Linked DNA regions of Mytilus edulis. The protein of the gene in region 1 purifies or fractionates together with the protein of each later gene. This does not show direct contact. Links are inferred from orthologs where the notes say so. Each region holds a gene or a part of one and is shown in the gene's direction. Other genes may lie near its edges.

Region 1 (7,464 bases):
AAATTGGGACATATATTCCTTATAGTTATCAAATTTGTTTTGATCATAATCGATAATATGGGTACCTTTTCGTTTTCGCAATTTTTATCCTAAGAAATGGGTTTCGTATTTAAATGAATAGAAACGGAATAGAAATATAATATATAAAACTATCACTGACAATATCAAATGGTGCAGTATTGCGAGGATACTTCTATTATATATAAAACCGTATCACTGACAATATCAAATGGTGCAGTATTGCGAGGATACTTCTTTAATATATAAAACCGTATCACTGACAATATCAAATGGTGCAGTATTGCGAGGATGCTTCTTTAATATATAAAACCGTATCACTGACAATATCAAATGGTGCAGTATTGCGAGGATACTTCTATAATATATAAAACCGTATCACTGACAATATCAAATGGTGCAGTATTGCGAGGATACTTCATCTGTTTTCACGAGAGACTGTTTTGTTGAGATCTGTTTTCTCAACTGTTTCATGTTGATTCCTAAAACCTTTCTGTGGTATAACTACTAAAATATACTAAGTTACTATTGAATTTGTTGTTGTAGTTTTCTATGATGTATATAGATAAATGTACAATTAACATTGATAATATATACGTGGCTATTATCATTTTTTTAATATTCTCAGTGAAGAGACAGGGGTGAATATGTATGTTAACCTTGAATCATCCATTTTTAAAGTTGTCTGGCTGTTTAGATGGCAGCTCTCAGTGCCGCCTACGTTTGGCATAAGACAAGATAATTCGCAAAGTTTTATAACGACCAAAAGGCATTGCAATCTTCCAGCACAGACTTTCAGATTTATTTCCCAAAGCTTTAAAAGATTTTGTAAAACCAAAGCTATGTTGAGGATTTAAAAGATTCTGCAAAACCAAAGCTATGTTGAGGATTTAAAAGATTCTGTAAAACCAATGCTTTGTTGAGGATTTAAAAGATTCTGTAAATCCAAAGCTATGTTGAGGATTTAAAAGATTCTGGAAAACCAAAGCTTTGTTGAGGATTTTAAAGATTCTGTAAAACCAAAGCTATGTTGAGGTCTTAAAAGATTCTGTAAACCCAAAGCTATGTTGAGGATTTAAAAGATTCTGGAAAACCAAAGCTATGTTGAGGATTTAAAAGATTCTGTAAAACCAAAGGTATCTGAATGTTAACCTAGAGTTTTGTTCTGGGTGTAGAAAATATTTTGAATCACCCTCTCTCTTCATTTACACCCCGACGCTTGGATTTTACGAGACCGGGTTATCGTAGTACTTACATGTGCATTATATAAAATAAAAGTTGTTACGTCATGTCTTAATTATAATAAAATGTATTTTCTCGCCGATAAAGCGATTGTTTAACTTACGTAAAACGAATAATTAGTCAATTGATTTCATGTATAGGGAAAGTTGCGAGGAATTTTTTTTTCCTGTAGTAAATATGTAATTGATTTCGAAACTCCTTTAACTGCCTTGTGGTACAATCCAATAAAAGAAATTTATATTCACCCCTGCTTCTTATGTTGTAATAACATTGCGTGGGATTAATGTTTTGTTGCTTATTGTCACTAACCACGTAGGCGGAAACTCTGATAAAGTGATACATTCCCCATGTATCTGCCACTTCGAAAATTGTTTTAGATTGTAGAAATAAGACATCAAAGGCATTTTTCACAAATAAATATTTAATTGAAACAAACAGTAATAAGTTAGAACAAAATAAATACAGTAGTACAATAAATACATAATTCACAATGTATATATATTACAATATTAGATACTAATAATAGTTTTCCAATGCACTATTTCGTACAAGCAGTCAGTAATAACTTAAGTCATGATAACACAATTTGATCTTTGTGTTAAGTCGTTGTCGATGTGCAGTCGAATGTTGCTCAGTCAGTTTCTGGGCAAACACTGGGCATGACTGGGTTTAATGTTCTTCATAAAGATTGAAGCACCGATGCCGTCATCTGTCCCTGTACATCTGCTAGTTTGTAGAACTCAATCCATTCACTTTATACCTTTTAGTTAAAGCTGAACTTGTTATTCACAGCATGCCATTTTCTAAACCATATGAGATGACAGCTCCAAGCACGACCAGGAGGAATATGGAGAAACCAAATACAAGACCAAGCCATACACTCTTTCTTGATGTCCTCTTTACTGTCTTCAGTGTAACAGTCTGTAAAAATAAATAAAATGTTAACAACATACCCCATTTATCTTTATTATGTTAACACCATAATCCATTTATCTTTAATTGTAAGATGTATGTAAACTACACACAGTCATGCAAATGACAGTGTGTTTGACATTGATTTGGTATTTAGATATTTAGGAAAGGCAGTATAAATCAATCTTTATATCATCTATAATACAGAATCAGCAATAAAAATCAGAAGGAGAAATAGAGTTACAACTTTTTTTAATTTTGCGGTGTGTTTGTGTACGTTACGAACTAGGAATATATATATATATGTTTTCCTTCCTTGTCCATATGAAAGTCAGTCGCAGAAACAAACAAATGCGTAATATCTTATCTCAAGACTAATTCCGCCTACTTTTTTTTTATATCTACAAGTGCATTACATGTATTTGTATCTAACTGACGATAGAAGCGACATAATAAAAGTGAAAGATCAGACAAGAAAACTGCTTCAATAATTTACAATCTTGAACTTTATACAATTGATCCTTTTCATATTTTTTTAAATAATTTTAAGCTAATCTGACTTACCGTAGATTTATAGACTGGTACATTTGCGTAGTGTCTGTGTGGGTCTATGACAGTGTAAGGAGGTAGGTTCCACTGGTTCTGTGAACAACTGGTACATGATGAGTTGTCAGACATCAGATGGAAAGGAGGACTTTGTTCTGAAGATACTGTGGAGTATGTGTCCGATGGCCTCAGAATACGGCTTTGCACACAGCTACCAGAAGTCGTAGAACAGTCGTCCATAAAAAGTGCCACCATACCACTTCTGTCCACCTTCATGTTGTTCTTTCTTGGAGTACTAATAACTGGGACGCGGTCGTATACCATCTTGTTCATTTTCTTTTGTGGAATCTTGTTAATTGTTGTATTGTACATCTTTCTATCTTTATATTATGAAACTGTAAATCAAAAATAAGATATTAATTATAATTTATATTAATTATAATAATTCTAAGACCAAAACGTCTATTTACAAAAACATTTTTTTTTAAAATAAACCATGTGTAAAAATGCATTAGAACTAATGGTCAAATTGATATGCACTAGCTTGATAATATATAAAATTAAAATTGAGGTTATTTTGAACAGAAATTCACAAATAAAAAATAAATAATCATCATGTCTTTATTAAAACCCTCCAAAGAAAACTTATCCCTCATAAAACTCTTACCTTTCTTTTAAACTTTCTTTAATATTCGGGAATTATTGAATGTTTTAATATTTGTTTGACGTTCTTTTATAAACGAAAGACAGTTGTGACTTAATTGGATTATCAGACTTTTGGACGACTTTTTTTTGAGATATGTCTGTCTGCTCTAATAATACTTTGTTGTAAGGGGTGATAAGTGAGAAGTATACTTAAGATGTTTTGATAACATTTGATATCTATAATTGAGTTCTTTTGTTGATACCTTTACTAATTATGTTGTAAACCTGTACTGATAATGATTAGATTAAAATTGGATTGGTTTTGTTTCTTAATAAGATTTGAATGTTTGTTTACTTTACAATTAAAACTAGAGTAGAGTTTCATTTCCTTATAGAACTCCACTAGAATGGCACGTTACAGATAGAGTATATAATCTTCAATTACTTTTTACAAGGATTTGTATAGTCTTACTATACAAATCCTTGCTTTTTATAAAATAATTTAATGAATGATTTAAATGCACTCTTTTTTTTTAATGAAAACAAAGCTTTATTTATGAACTAATTTTACTTTTTTATCAAATGTCTTCCCGTAATTTTTATTTAAATCAAACTTGAATTCCCAACGATTGATAAACGATTGGTGTATTAATTTGGTACTACTGTCTGGTATCTTTGGTGAGTGTTTTTCTTTCTTTCTTATTGATTTTTTCTTTCTTTCTTTCTTTCTTATTGATTTTTTTCTTAATTTTTAATGCAAAGAGGTCTCCTCGATTTCATCATATTTATTTACTATTCTATTTTGATATCTTTTTATTTGCACATTTTGATATTACAAATAAATCATTACAGAATACAGGGTACAATTAAATAACGCTTAGGACTTGTTTATTGACTAAACGAAAGACTATATTCTTATTCATTATTTTATTAATCCCTTCATGTAATAATTTTATGTTTCTTGTGGTATGGGTGAATGCGTAACAAGTTCGAATATATTGACTATGTTTTAGATAACCCTATTTCCCGGAAACACCAAAACTAATTTTAGAATGTATTCCGGAATATCTCAATGTGCTTTTGGAGAATTTTCTACAATTTTCTAAACTATATTTAAACTTGCCTGAGTCATTTCTGTTCTAAAAGAGAAGCATATAAGTAAACCATATCGATATATGTTCCGTGAACTTACTTGTATCCGATTTATTCAACAGTAGTTCGAAATTTTAGAGATTCACTTCGACTGAAGCAACTTAGCCAACTATTACTTGTATATTGATTTGCTCACATTTTGTGTCTGTTTATTGCTGTACCTTACGTAAAAATTGTTGACGAATAACTTATTGAAATGGCCAGTGGAGATGGTAAGGACCAGAGGAATCCAAAAGATATGAAAGCATTGTTGAAATTCTGTTTGGAAGCAACAAAGGATGAGGATGCAAAATCAGAAGAATTTGCTCCTATGGATGAAGAGGTACATGTACTTGTTTATATAAATACTCTAATATGGAGACAGGTATAACATTTGAAAAAGGATGCTATAGGCTATAAAAATAATAATAAAATTACCTTAATCAAAGTAACCGTAAAATGACACCATGATTATTTTGAATCTTTATTTTCAAAGTCCATCAATTAATGATTGAGGATCTCCCAGATTGAACAATATATCAGGAGTTTCTCTAAGGATGGACAGAATCTGTATGTTATTTTATGTAAAGAATCTGTAATCTGTAGGGATTTTGAAGGCAAGATATTATATTTGGTCATGGCAGCCCTGGTTTCAGCAGTGAGTCAAAGAAATTTTATTCCTATATGTTTGTTTGTATTTCAGTCTCCACATCTAAATAGAGAAGTGAGATGATGTCAAGTTAAGGTTACATGTATACATGTATTTAAACTTTTACAATAAAATGGTGATATTTGGGATCGGTTAATTATGTTGATAAATTACCTGATACAGCATCTTTGGACTCTCCAGTTTTGAATATGATGAGTCCAGACAGATTTTCAATAGGCCAGAACTCATGAACTCTGCATAGTTAGAACCCTGCAATAGATAATCCATATAACTAAATTGGTAAAAAAAATTCCCACCATATATATGATATCATGATTTATATACATGTACGAAAAATGGGTGGCTTAAAAATCAATGGAAAAGGTGGGGTGTACATGTAGATACATTTTTGTGTACATGCATGATGCATGTACCTACATGTACACAAAATTGATGAAATGTGGAAAACACCTAAAGCAAAAACATTAAAAAGTCTCAGTCAAAAAATATTTAGCAAAACTAGCAAACCTGCAGGGTACTAGAAAATATTCATAATTCTTTATTCAGTACAAATCAACACTTAATTATATAATAACCAGGTGCAGTTTAGGTGAGGTTGAAGATGAAGTTTATTGATATTTAAATGAAACATTGGCAATCCATCATTAATATTTGGATTTTAAAATACAACAACAAAAAATTATTAAAAAAATCTGGCCTTTTAAAAACAAAACAGAAATTTAAATCTCTATTTTACCCTAGAACATTTATTATTTGGATACTTTAAAAAATTTGGGAGACCAGCAAGGAGCATACATCAATGTACATGTAAGAAGAATTATATATTCCCATTATTTTGTGGTTCTGTCCTTTGGTCATCACTTCTGTTTTATGATATCATGTAGTAGCTTGATATATCAATGATGTTTTAACTTGAACATGTTGTAATGATTTGTTTCCTCTCAAGTTTTGTGATTGATATACTTTATGATATATTTTATTTGTATTCTGAAAGGAATTTTCCTGTTAAGCACTGGTTCTTTTTTGCATATGTATAAAGGAATGAATAGTTAATTCCTAACAGTTATTTGTTCATGTGACTGATATGCATTAGGAACATGTACAAATGTATGTACAAAATTCAAATATATATAATAATAAATAACCTAGGGACAGACAATTTTACTTTAAAGTGGAAAACAATATCCTGATCCCTATTTGATGGAAAAAAAATTCTGTTCAAGTAGATGACCAAAAAAAATATTCTAATTCCAGATTTTCCCCATACCTCATAGTGTTAAATTTTTGAAAAACTAAATAGAATTGTCATGATTGTGCACAAATTTTTTTCTGACTCTGCCATAAAACCATTGGCATACCCCCTCCCCCGAAGTGAAATGGTTGCTTCCTAAAATTTTAACAAATTCTATTTTTAAAAAAGTGCTACAAGTACGTGACCACTGCTATTACAAGATAAATATTTGAGACAAAAAGTAATTAAGTAAGGTTTATAATTGCAGGGCTGAAAGTATAAATTTTGTTTTATATTTTATAATTGAAATTAAAGATTTCCAAATACATATATGCTAATTTAACTAATAGAGTTATAATATTGACAGAGAAAGAAATGGTTAGAGCAGGCATTGGTTGGCATGTCTGTAAGTCCAGTACAAAGAATGAGGACATGTATTGAATGTTTGAAAAACAACCAAAGCAGTGATGAAGAAAGAAGTCAAGCTATGGAGGAACTGATTGAATGGGGTGAAAATATGGATTATGCCACAGGTAAACCTTATAGAAAGTCTAAGCACTAAAACACCTTTTCTTCTGATTGGATGAACTTTGACTTAATTGCCTGCTATCATGCATGCATCTATAATACTAAAATTACGAGGTCCAATTTGTCAGCCATCATCACGTAAAAACGACGAATCAAAGAATTCATCTTTATATATAACTAATATAGTACAAAGGTGTAGATTAAAAATTACACCACTCCAGGCCCTTTTGTTTTCCACGTAATTAATATTGCCAATAATTAAGAAGTTCCGGGTCAAGTCCGATACCGATACCAATAGTATATTCACGTGTTACCTATTACCTTATCTGTACGTTCCGCATCTAACAGGTGCACCACCAAACGGTGTATTTAGGATTATGCTATATACATGTACACGGATCATAATCACAGGGTTGACACTACTAAATTCAATCATTGTCAAATTGTTACCTATTGTAGTATTTTAATCAGTAAGACTTTCTAAGATAACAATACGAATACTAAAAATCTGGACTTAAAATAAGGTGTATATAGGAACCGT
Region 2 (7,666 bases), on another chromosome or scaffold:
TCCCCATTCTGACCAGACGTGACTGCGTATTTATACATCCTGCACAGCCAAACGGACGACCAACATTGGCTATTCGGGTGAAGACAAAGTGGAAAGCTAGTTGAAAACTAACAACAGCTAATTAAAAAACTCATGTGTCTAAGTTGAGGTTTATTCAAGTTTTTGTTGATAGTCTAGAAGTGAAATGATCTAAACCAAAGTTCTAGTTTATAGTTTCTATATAAGGTAAAATCGTAAAAACATTCAATTCTAGCCAATATTCCATTCACTAAGGACGAGAGACTAGTGTACACATGACATTCGATAATTAAAGAGTTTTGACAACTTCATCTACAGATAACGTTGTTTATTATTTTTTTTAATAAAAAAAAAAAATATTTGTGAAAAAATTATGTGTAGGCACGTGCCTAAAGTGCCTAACGGCAGCTACGCCCCTGGGCGCAAATGAAATATGGTTTGTGACGCAAATGAAAGATTTCTTTTGGCGCAATTGAAATGCCAAAAGCAAAGCACCGTTTTGATTGGTTGATTCTTGAGTCTGAGTACAAAAATCGTGCTCTAAAGTTTTATGACCGCAAGGCCTGGTTTCGGATCGTGAATCTAATTAATTGTAGTTTTACTTCAAAATCTGTGAAAAATCTACTGTTTTTTTTAAAACGCGGAACAAATTTGGAAAAAATAATTACGTCTGTCAAAAGTATTCAACTTTTTAGATAATACTAGTGTGCAATAGGATAAAGAGGATTAAAAAAAAACACGTTTTGCATATATAATGATCAACGTTTTGCATATATAATGATCATATTCCAAGATATAATGATATATTTGGTGTGTCAGATAGTACAGGAAAATGTGAGATTTTCCCCCTTGAAACCGTTCATTTTGTTTTTGAAAACATTGAAGTTTGTTGGTTTTTCATCAAAATTGATCGTGAAAGATCCATGGGCAACGCATTTTCTTTATCGTGAAAGACAAGGCGTATGAAGGTTGCGCTTTTTAACCTGTAACATTAGTTTAAACATATTTTATTGTCCAAAAACATTGACAATAGGATTAGACATAAAAGGACATTTGCACTTCAAAAACTATGGGTATTTGCCATTGAAACACTTCGGGCATTTGCGCTTTTTGTTTTAGTTGAGTTTAAACATATTTATTTATGAGGGGGGATAGGACCTTTATCGGGACTCCGGGATCGGGTGTTTTTAAGCTCGGGATTTCGGGATTGACCCTTTCGGGATCCGGGAATTCTTTTTTTAGGATTTCGGGACGTCGGGATTTACTTTATTCAAATTCGGGATTTTGGGATTTCATGTTTTTAAACTCGGGATTTCGGGATCAGGACCCCTCCTATCCCCCCTCATTTATAGTGGATTGGGAAACAAGTTTTGTAAATTTATCCCTTTCCACTTTGCGGGTGCGAGTGCTGCCTTGTAGCGGCATTAGCCTGCTCTTTTTCGAACTCTACAAGGGTGTCTTTAACGGTGCAAGAGATATGGCTCTCTCTTAACACGGGTCAGCCATTTATCGTCCCCTTCCGACGGACTATCATCGTTTCCTCTTAACATACTTTCAAATGGTGTCAAGGGAGAGTAAAAAAAAGAGTTCCTGAAATTTTCATCCCGAACTGGATTTTTAACTTTGCGCTTTTAACTTGCTTTCAATTGATACACCTGAACAAGATAAGAAATGTGTAAATTCATTTTCAGAAGAAAACAGTATGGACCATAAGGGAGCAACCATTTATCTTCAAAAAAAGGGAGGGGAGGTATTTTTTTGTTTTTGTTTAAGTAATATTTTTTTTCACGCGAAGCGATTCAACCATGTCAACGTTTCCAATATAAAAAAAATCAAAATTTAAGCATTTTACATGAATGTATGGCTAGGGAAAATCTGTTGGATTAAATTTTTGTTTGTCCTCTGCTTGAAGAATATTTTTTGTTTCAATTTGGGAATAAGAACATTTTTTAAAGAGAAATAACATATCCCCCCTCCCGCCTCAGTTTGATGTTCGATGGTCGTTCCCTAAACATCTCGTAATTAATCATTTTATCCAAGACAAAAACTACAGTCTTGTTAAGCATTTAAGGTAGCGCCTTCCTCATATTAAATCTAATCTAATATGAGAATTTTAGTCAAATCGGTGAACATGAATTTTACAGCTATTGTCCCTTTAAAATGCTTTTGCAATAAACAAAGTCAGGGGCGTGTTTTATTGGTCTTGCCAAGAAATTGCCTCCGTTGAAATTCTGCAAACACCCCATAGAGCAAATTACATGGATGATTAATTTTGACCATTTGGTATATGGCCGTGTTCTAAGCGACACGTACTTGAAGGTCATACATTAATTTCTTGAATGAAATCAAATCTTTAGCTACTAATGACTGCCGTTGGGGGTCGACCGGAATTTTTAGCGAGGATTTCTTGGCATTATTCTAGTTGGCTGGTTTTGTGTGTGTGTCTCGTACCGATCTTTTGAGTTAATTTAATAGCAACTGATTTGTGCAGGTTATTTTTATATTGTACTATATATCTTTATTCTCACAAACCAAATTACAAAGGTATAGAGATAATTATACATATTTCAATACAATTACATAAATAAATAATGTACGAAAGTAGATAGAGGCATTTACAATTGTTCACCCAGAAAAGTTCAATTTGTTATTGATCTCCTTAATAAGTTTACATAGTTCGTTCAGTTCTGTACATTTTTTTGAATTCATTAAGTCATAAAACTTCAATGTGTTTGGTCCATTTCTATAGCAAAATGCAATACATTGTTTTCTACAGTTATCAAAAGCTGAATAATTAAAAAATATAATGGTATTCATCACCAATGGCCTCTGAATTACACAATACACATTTTCTGTTTTCCCTTTCTATGTTTTGCCATCTTTTAAATAGATATAGGAAGATGTTTTGTGAGTGCCAATCAGACAACTCTCCATCCAAATAACAATTTATAATAGTTTGTATTGGAAATTTCATGTTCAAAGTTCGAAATTAGGATATATGCCTGTCATTCAAAATATTTAAATATTTCTCAAACTCCAAAGTATCTTTAAATAAACGATAATTTAATGCTTTTGGTGATTCCTGTAGGTTTGCTAGCCATTTTTGTTTGCTACACTATACGGTTTCAGCTTCGGGGAGAATTGAGCGCTCACAAACATTTTGTTGAACTGTTACACCACTGTCCAATGTTAAGGGATGGTTGGGATCCGCGGCTGACATGTTTAACTCCGCCACATTACTATATGTATGTGCCTGTCCCAAGTCAGGAGCCTGTAAGTCAGTACTTGTCGTTTGTTGCTGTGTTACTTACTTGTCTTTCGTTCATTATTTTGTACCGTTGGTTAGGTTGTTAGTTTTCTTCTTTGACTGGCCGATTGTTTGAACTCATATTTGATATTGTGTAAAAACAATTGTTATGTATAGTTTTTCATTTAAATTGTTTCACACTTTTCATGGCCTTTTATAAACGGCTTTACATATGGTATCGGGTTCTGTCATTGTTGAAGGCCGTTGCCTATAACTGCTTACATCCACCATTTTTGTCCACTTCATCATTTGAACTCCGGTCGAAAGTTGTCTAATAAGCAATCATATCACATATCTTTGTTTTTATATAATTATATTTCTCGTGTTTTCTTCAGGTATGCATGAAATATTTATCACTGGGCGTTAAAAATTAGAATCAATTTAAACTTGTGTTAAATAAGAGAAAAACATCAGATAAATCAGTATTAATTTGATGGGGTTAGGGAAAATGAGGATTTCGTATATGAATATGGTTGCCTGGTAAGGGCTGAAAATAGGCTTGATTAGCGACAAATTAAAATGAACAATAATTAAGACCCATTGGTGGCCTTCGGCTGTTGTCTGCTCTATTGATGGTCGGGTTGTTATCGCTTTGACACATTCCCCATTTCCTTTCTCAATTTTAATAATGAACTCTTTCCTTCCTCATTCCTCATCTATTGATTTAAACTGAGCACTAGCCAAATTATGAGTGTTGAAATTAGCGTTTAACACCAATAAATCAATTCAGAGATGTCCTACTAAGGCTGTCGTACCATAAAAACTTTTCAGTATTACACAGCTCACATTCTAACTTATATCTACTTTCATAAACTAATTAATGTCATTAGTTTTGTGACTCTGTCGTATAAACCACCTATTAAAAAAGAAGAGGTGGAAGAGAGCCAGAAGATCTTCCCAATGCAAAAAAAAAACAGAAAAGGACCTCTTCTGGTTCACTACCGAAGATAAAAAAAACACGCCCCGGCTGCAGGTTCATTAGCAAACAGGAGTATTTTTATACATTACAAACGAGTTATACCTTAATTTTCATTATCTTTAAAACGTTTAAAAGTTCCAATATACACCATCAATTCAAACACTTTAATGATAGAGAAGATGATAACCTCCCTTTAGTTAAAGAAATCGGGAAATTTCCAGACTTAGTCCGAAATCTTGAAACTATAAGCCTAAATAATTTCTGACTAAAATGCAAAACACAGAGAAAATTAAGGTAAGACTACGGGAACGAGATCTGCTGAGTTCTGCACTCTTAAAGTTCCCCCAAGTGTAGCACAGGCAAATTTTATATTTGTTTCTATCCATAGGTAGTCCACAGGAGTTTGAAATCCTATCAATAATGGGGTAAAAATATACCAAACTCGACTATCACAGTAGAGATTCTGTCTCTTTGAGAGAAGCTCTACTGTGAAAACTTCTGTGGGAAGTCCGAGATTACTCTGACGTCTAACGGCTGTGTTTCAAGACAAGCTGGGGCCGTGGGACGTCAGAGCTGGTCCCATATTAAAAAGTGGATATTTGCCTGTCCAAAATAGATGTGCTGCTTCCTCCCTTCTGGTGCCAACTGTTGGCCTTGGCATTATATAGATCGGGTATCAATTCTTTCATTTTTCATTTATCTCTTCATTAATGAGGGGGGATAGGACCTTTATCGGGACTCCGGGATCGGGTGTTTTTAAGATCGGGATTTCGGGATTGACCCTTTCGGGATCCGGGAATCCTTTTTTTCGGATTTCGGGATGTCGGGATTTGCTTTATTTAAATTCGGGACCTCGGGATTTCGTTTTTTCAAGTCCGGGATTTCGGGATCAAGACCCCTCCTATCCCCCCTCATTAATGTACCTGTCGCCCTTTAATTTCTCATACATATGTAATTAGACAGTTTTCACAGTGACCCATCGATTCAGACATTTTTACTTTTATTTTCAAAAGGACGTCAAGTTACGAGAGACTTCATGAACTCGAGACTCAAATATGCAAATATTTATCATGTTTATACTTTTTCACCTCCTTCATAGGACAGGAGATCGATATTAAGCATTTAGTGCCAACCACAATAACAATCGGAAGCTCTCGAACATTTTGATAACTTGCATCGTGAATGAACGAGGTGTTAGATATTGGTCATTTGCATAAATCGTCACTGTTTTCTCGTGGTCACGTGATAATCTTTGAAAATAAAAGTAAAAATGTCTGAATTCTTGAGATTCTTTGATATGCTTGAATCTAAACATGTTTTTGATAATTGGGCCAGTTTTTAATGAGGTCCAAAGGGTCCAAAATTAAACTTTGATTACATTAAAAATTGAATATATGTTTTTATACGACCGCAAAAATTAAAAAAAATTTGGTCGTATATTGGTATCACGCCGTCGTCTTCTTCATCAGCGTCATCCTAAGATGAATGGTTTCCGGATAATAACTTTAGTATAAGTTAATAAAAACCAATAAAAATTTTACACAATGTTTGTTACCACAATAGTAAGGTTAGGATTGATTTTGGGGGTTATGGTCCCAACGGTTTGGAAATTAGGGGCCCAAAGGTGCCCAAGACAAGTATTTATCTAGTTTCAGGACAATAAGTTGTGTATAAGTATTTTAATTGCTCTGATATTGTACCACAATGGTCATACTATAAAGTAGAAGGTTGAGATTTATTTTAAGGGTTGTGTGGGCAAACAGTCTAGGAATTAAGTGCCAGAAAGGGGTCAAAAACAAGCATTTTTGTAGTTTCAGGACAATAACTTATGTATAACTGTATGGATATCTCTGACTTTGTACCACAAGGTTCCATATAACGAAGGGAAGGCTTTAATTTAGTTTGGGGTTAATATCCCTGAACATTTAGGAATGAGGGGCCAAAAAGATGCATTTTTCTAGATTACAGGCAAAAAATTGGGTTTAACTGAATGCCAGAATGGATCTCTCTTTAATTATGCTACAAGGTTTCTTACTACAAAGGAAAGGCTGGAATTGAGTTTTGGGGTTCTTGCTCCAAGGTGGGAGGCGGGTTTCTGAAACTTTCAATAAGTGAGGGGTCAAAAAAGAGGCCGAAATAAGCATTTTTGTAGTTTTCAGTCAATAACTTATGTTTAAGTGTATAAATCTCCCTGAAATTATACCACAAGTTTCCATACTACAAAGGGATGGATATGGGGGGTTATGGCTCAAATCATTCAGCAATTAGGGGCAAAAAAGGGGGAAAACAAGGGTCAGGGTGTCTATCCATATCGGATCCTTTACACGCAATTCAGCGGTACATGGCTCCTTTGTGAACAGATAACGGATCCTTGCCGTAAAAACAACGTGATGTTGTTAGAAAGTTATGGATGACAACAAATCAGAGAGGTATTTTGTGTTAAATTCTTAGTTCACGGAACTTTAGAATGTCAAACTGATCCACTCTTCTTATGACTATAGATAGTTTTAAGAATAACAGGCTATTTTTACAAGAAAAAGTGGGCAAGTGTCTCACATAACCTTTGTTTTTTCCAAAAAACAGCGTTTTATGCATGTTATTTCTGTCAATATGGATTTGAATAAACAGTTCATCATTTTTTAATTGCTCATTTCATTTTATTGAGTATAAAAGAGTATACAATAAGCTCCAGATAGAATTAAAAGACCGTGTTGGAAACGGATCATAAAGATCCGTTGCCACAAATTTTATAACATTTTGAACTAATTTCAGAAGACTGAACATTAGAATTTCGGTAGATTGTTTTACCCAATAAAAGAACGTCAATTTCTAATACAATTCAGTACTTTTATCAGCAAAAACAGGGAAGAAATGCTTGAAAGTCTGGAAAATGTCAACATCACTTCGCAATTTCATACAATTGCACTCCCTTGTTTCAGTGATTATTTCGTAATCATACTAGCTAACGAAATAAAATACATCTATATACTTACCTTGATAGTTGGCTTATTTCGCCTGCTATTTGTTTTTTGTTGACCAGAGTGTTTAGACAGAATAAAACACAATTTTAAAGGAACGTTTAGGTTAACTCACCTTATGTTTACGGCAAGGATCCGTTATCTGTTCACAAAGGAGCCGCGTACCGCTGAATTGCGCGTAAAGGATTCGATATGGATAGACATTGTCAGGGAATCAGGATAGATGTGGCAACGATAGGATAATTAAAATTCCTTACATATTTTTAACAGTATCAACTAAAAACTCTTTGGAATGATTATTTAACAATTGAGTTGGATGAAGTAATAAAAGTATATCATGTACATTTTCAACAGATTTGTGATATCAGTCTTTTGTTTTGAAAATGATAAAGGCTTATATGTCATGTATGTGTTCTATATAAACTAGTCTATTGTTATTTCTAG

What was found.
Region 2: the proteins of hsp70-binding protein 1-like (region 1) and erythroid differentiation-related factor 1-like purify together in Homo sapiens (affinity purification with mass spectrometry; 3 studies listed by BioGRID and IntAct, counting the BioPlex papers as one, with this or other methods). This does not show direct contact. The link is inferred for Mytilus edulis from reciprocal best matches to the Homo sapiens genes HSPBP1 and EDRF1.

The regions. Positions count from the first base shown.
Region 1 is NC_092350.1:18,199,832-18,207,295, forward strand, and holds the start of hsp70-binding protein 1-like, read left to right. Parts: upstream 1-4,374; 5' UTR 4,375-4,711; coding exon 4,712-4,837; intron 4,838-6,762; coding exon 6,763-6,928; intron 6,929-7,464. UniProt on the Homo sapiens protein: Inhibits HSPA1A chaperone activity by changing the conformation of the ATP-binding domain of HSPA1A and interfering with ATP binding. Interferes with ubiquitination mediated by STUB1 and inhibits chaperone-assisted degradation of immature CFTR.
Region 2 is NC_092347.1:49,866,796-49,874,461, reverse strand, and holds the start of erythroid differentiation-related factor 1-like, read left to right. Parts: upstream 1-4,401; 5' UTR 4,402-4,514; coding exon 4,515-4,538; intron 4,539-7,666. UniProt on the Homo sapiens protein: Transcription factor involved in erythroid differentiation. Involved in transcriptional activation of the globin gene.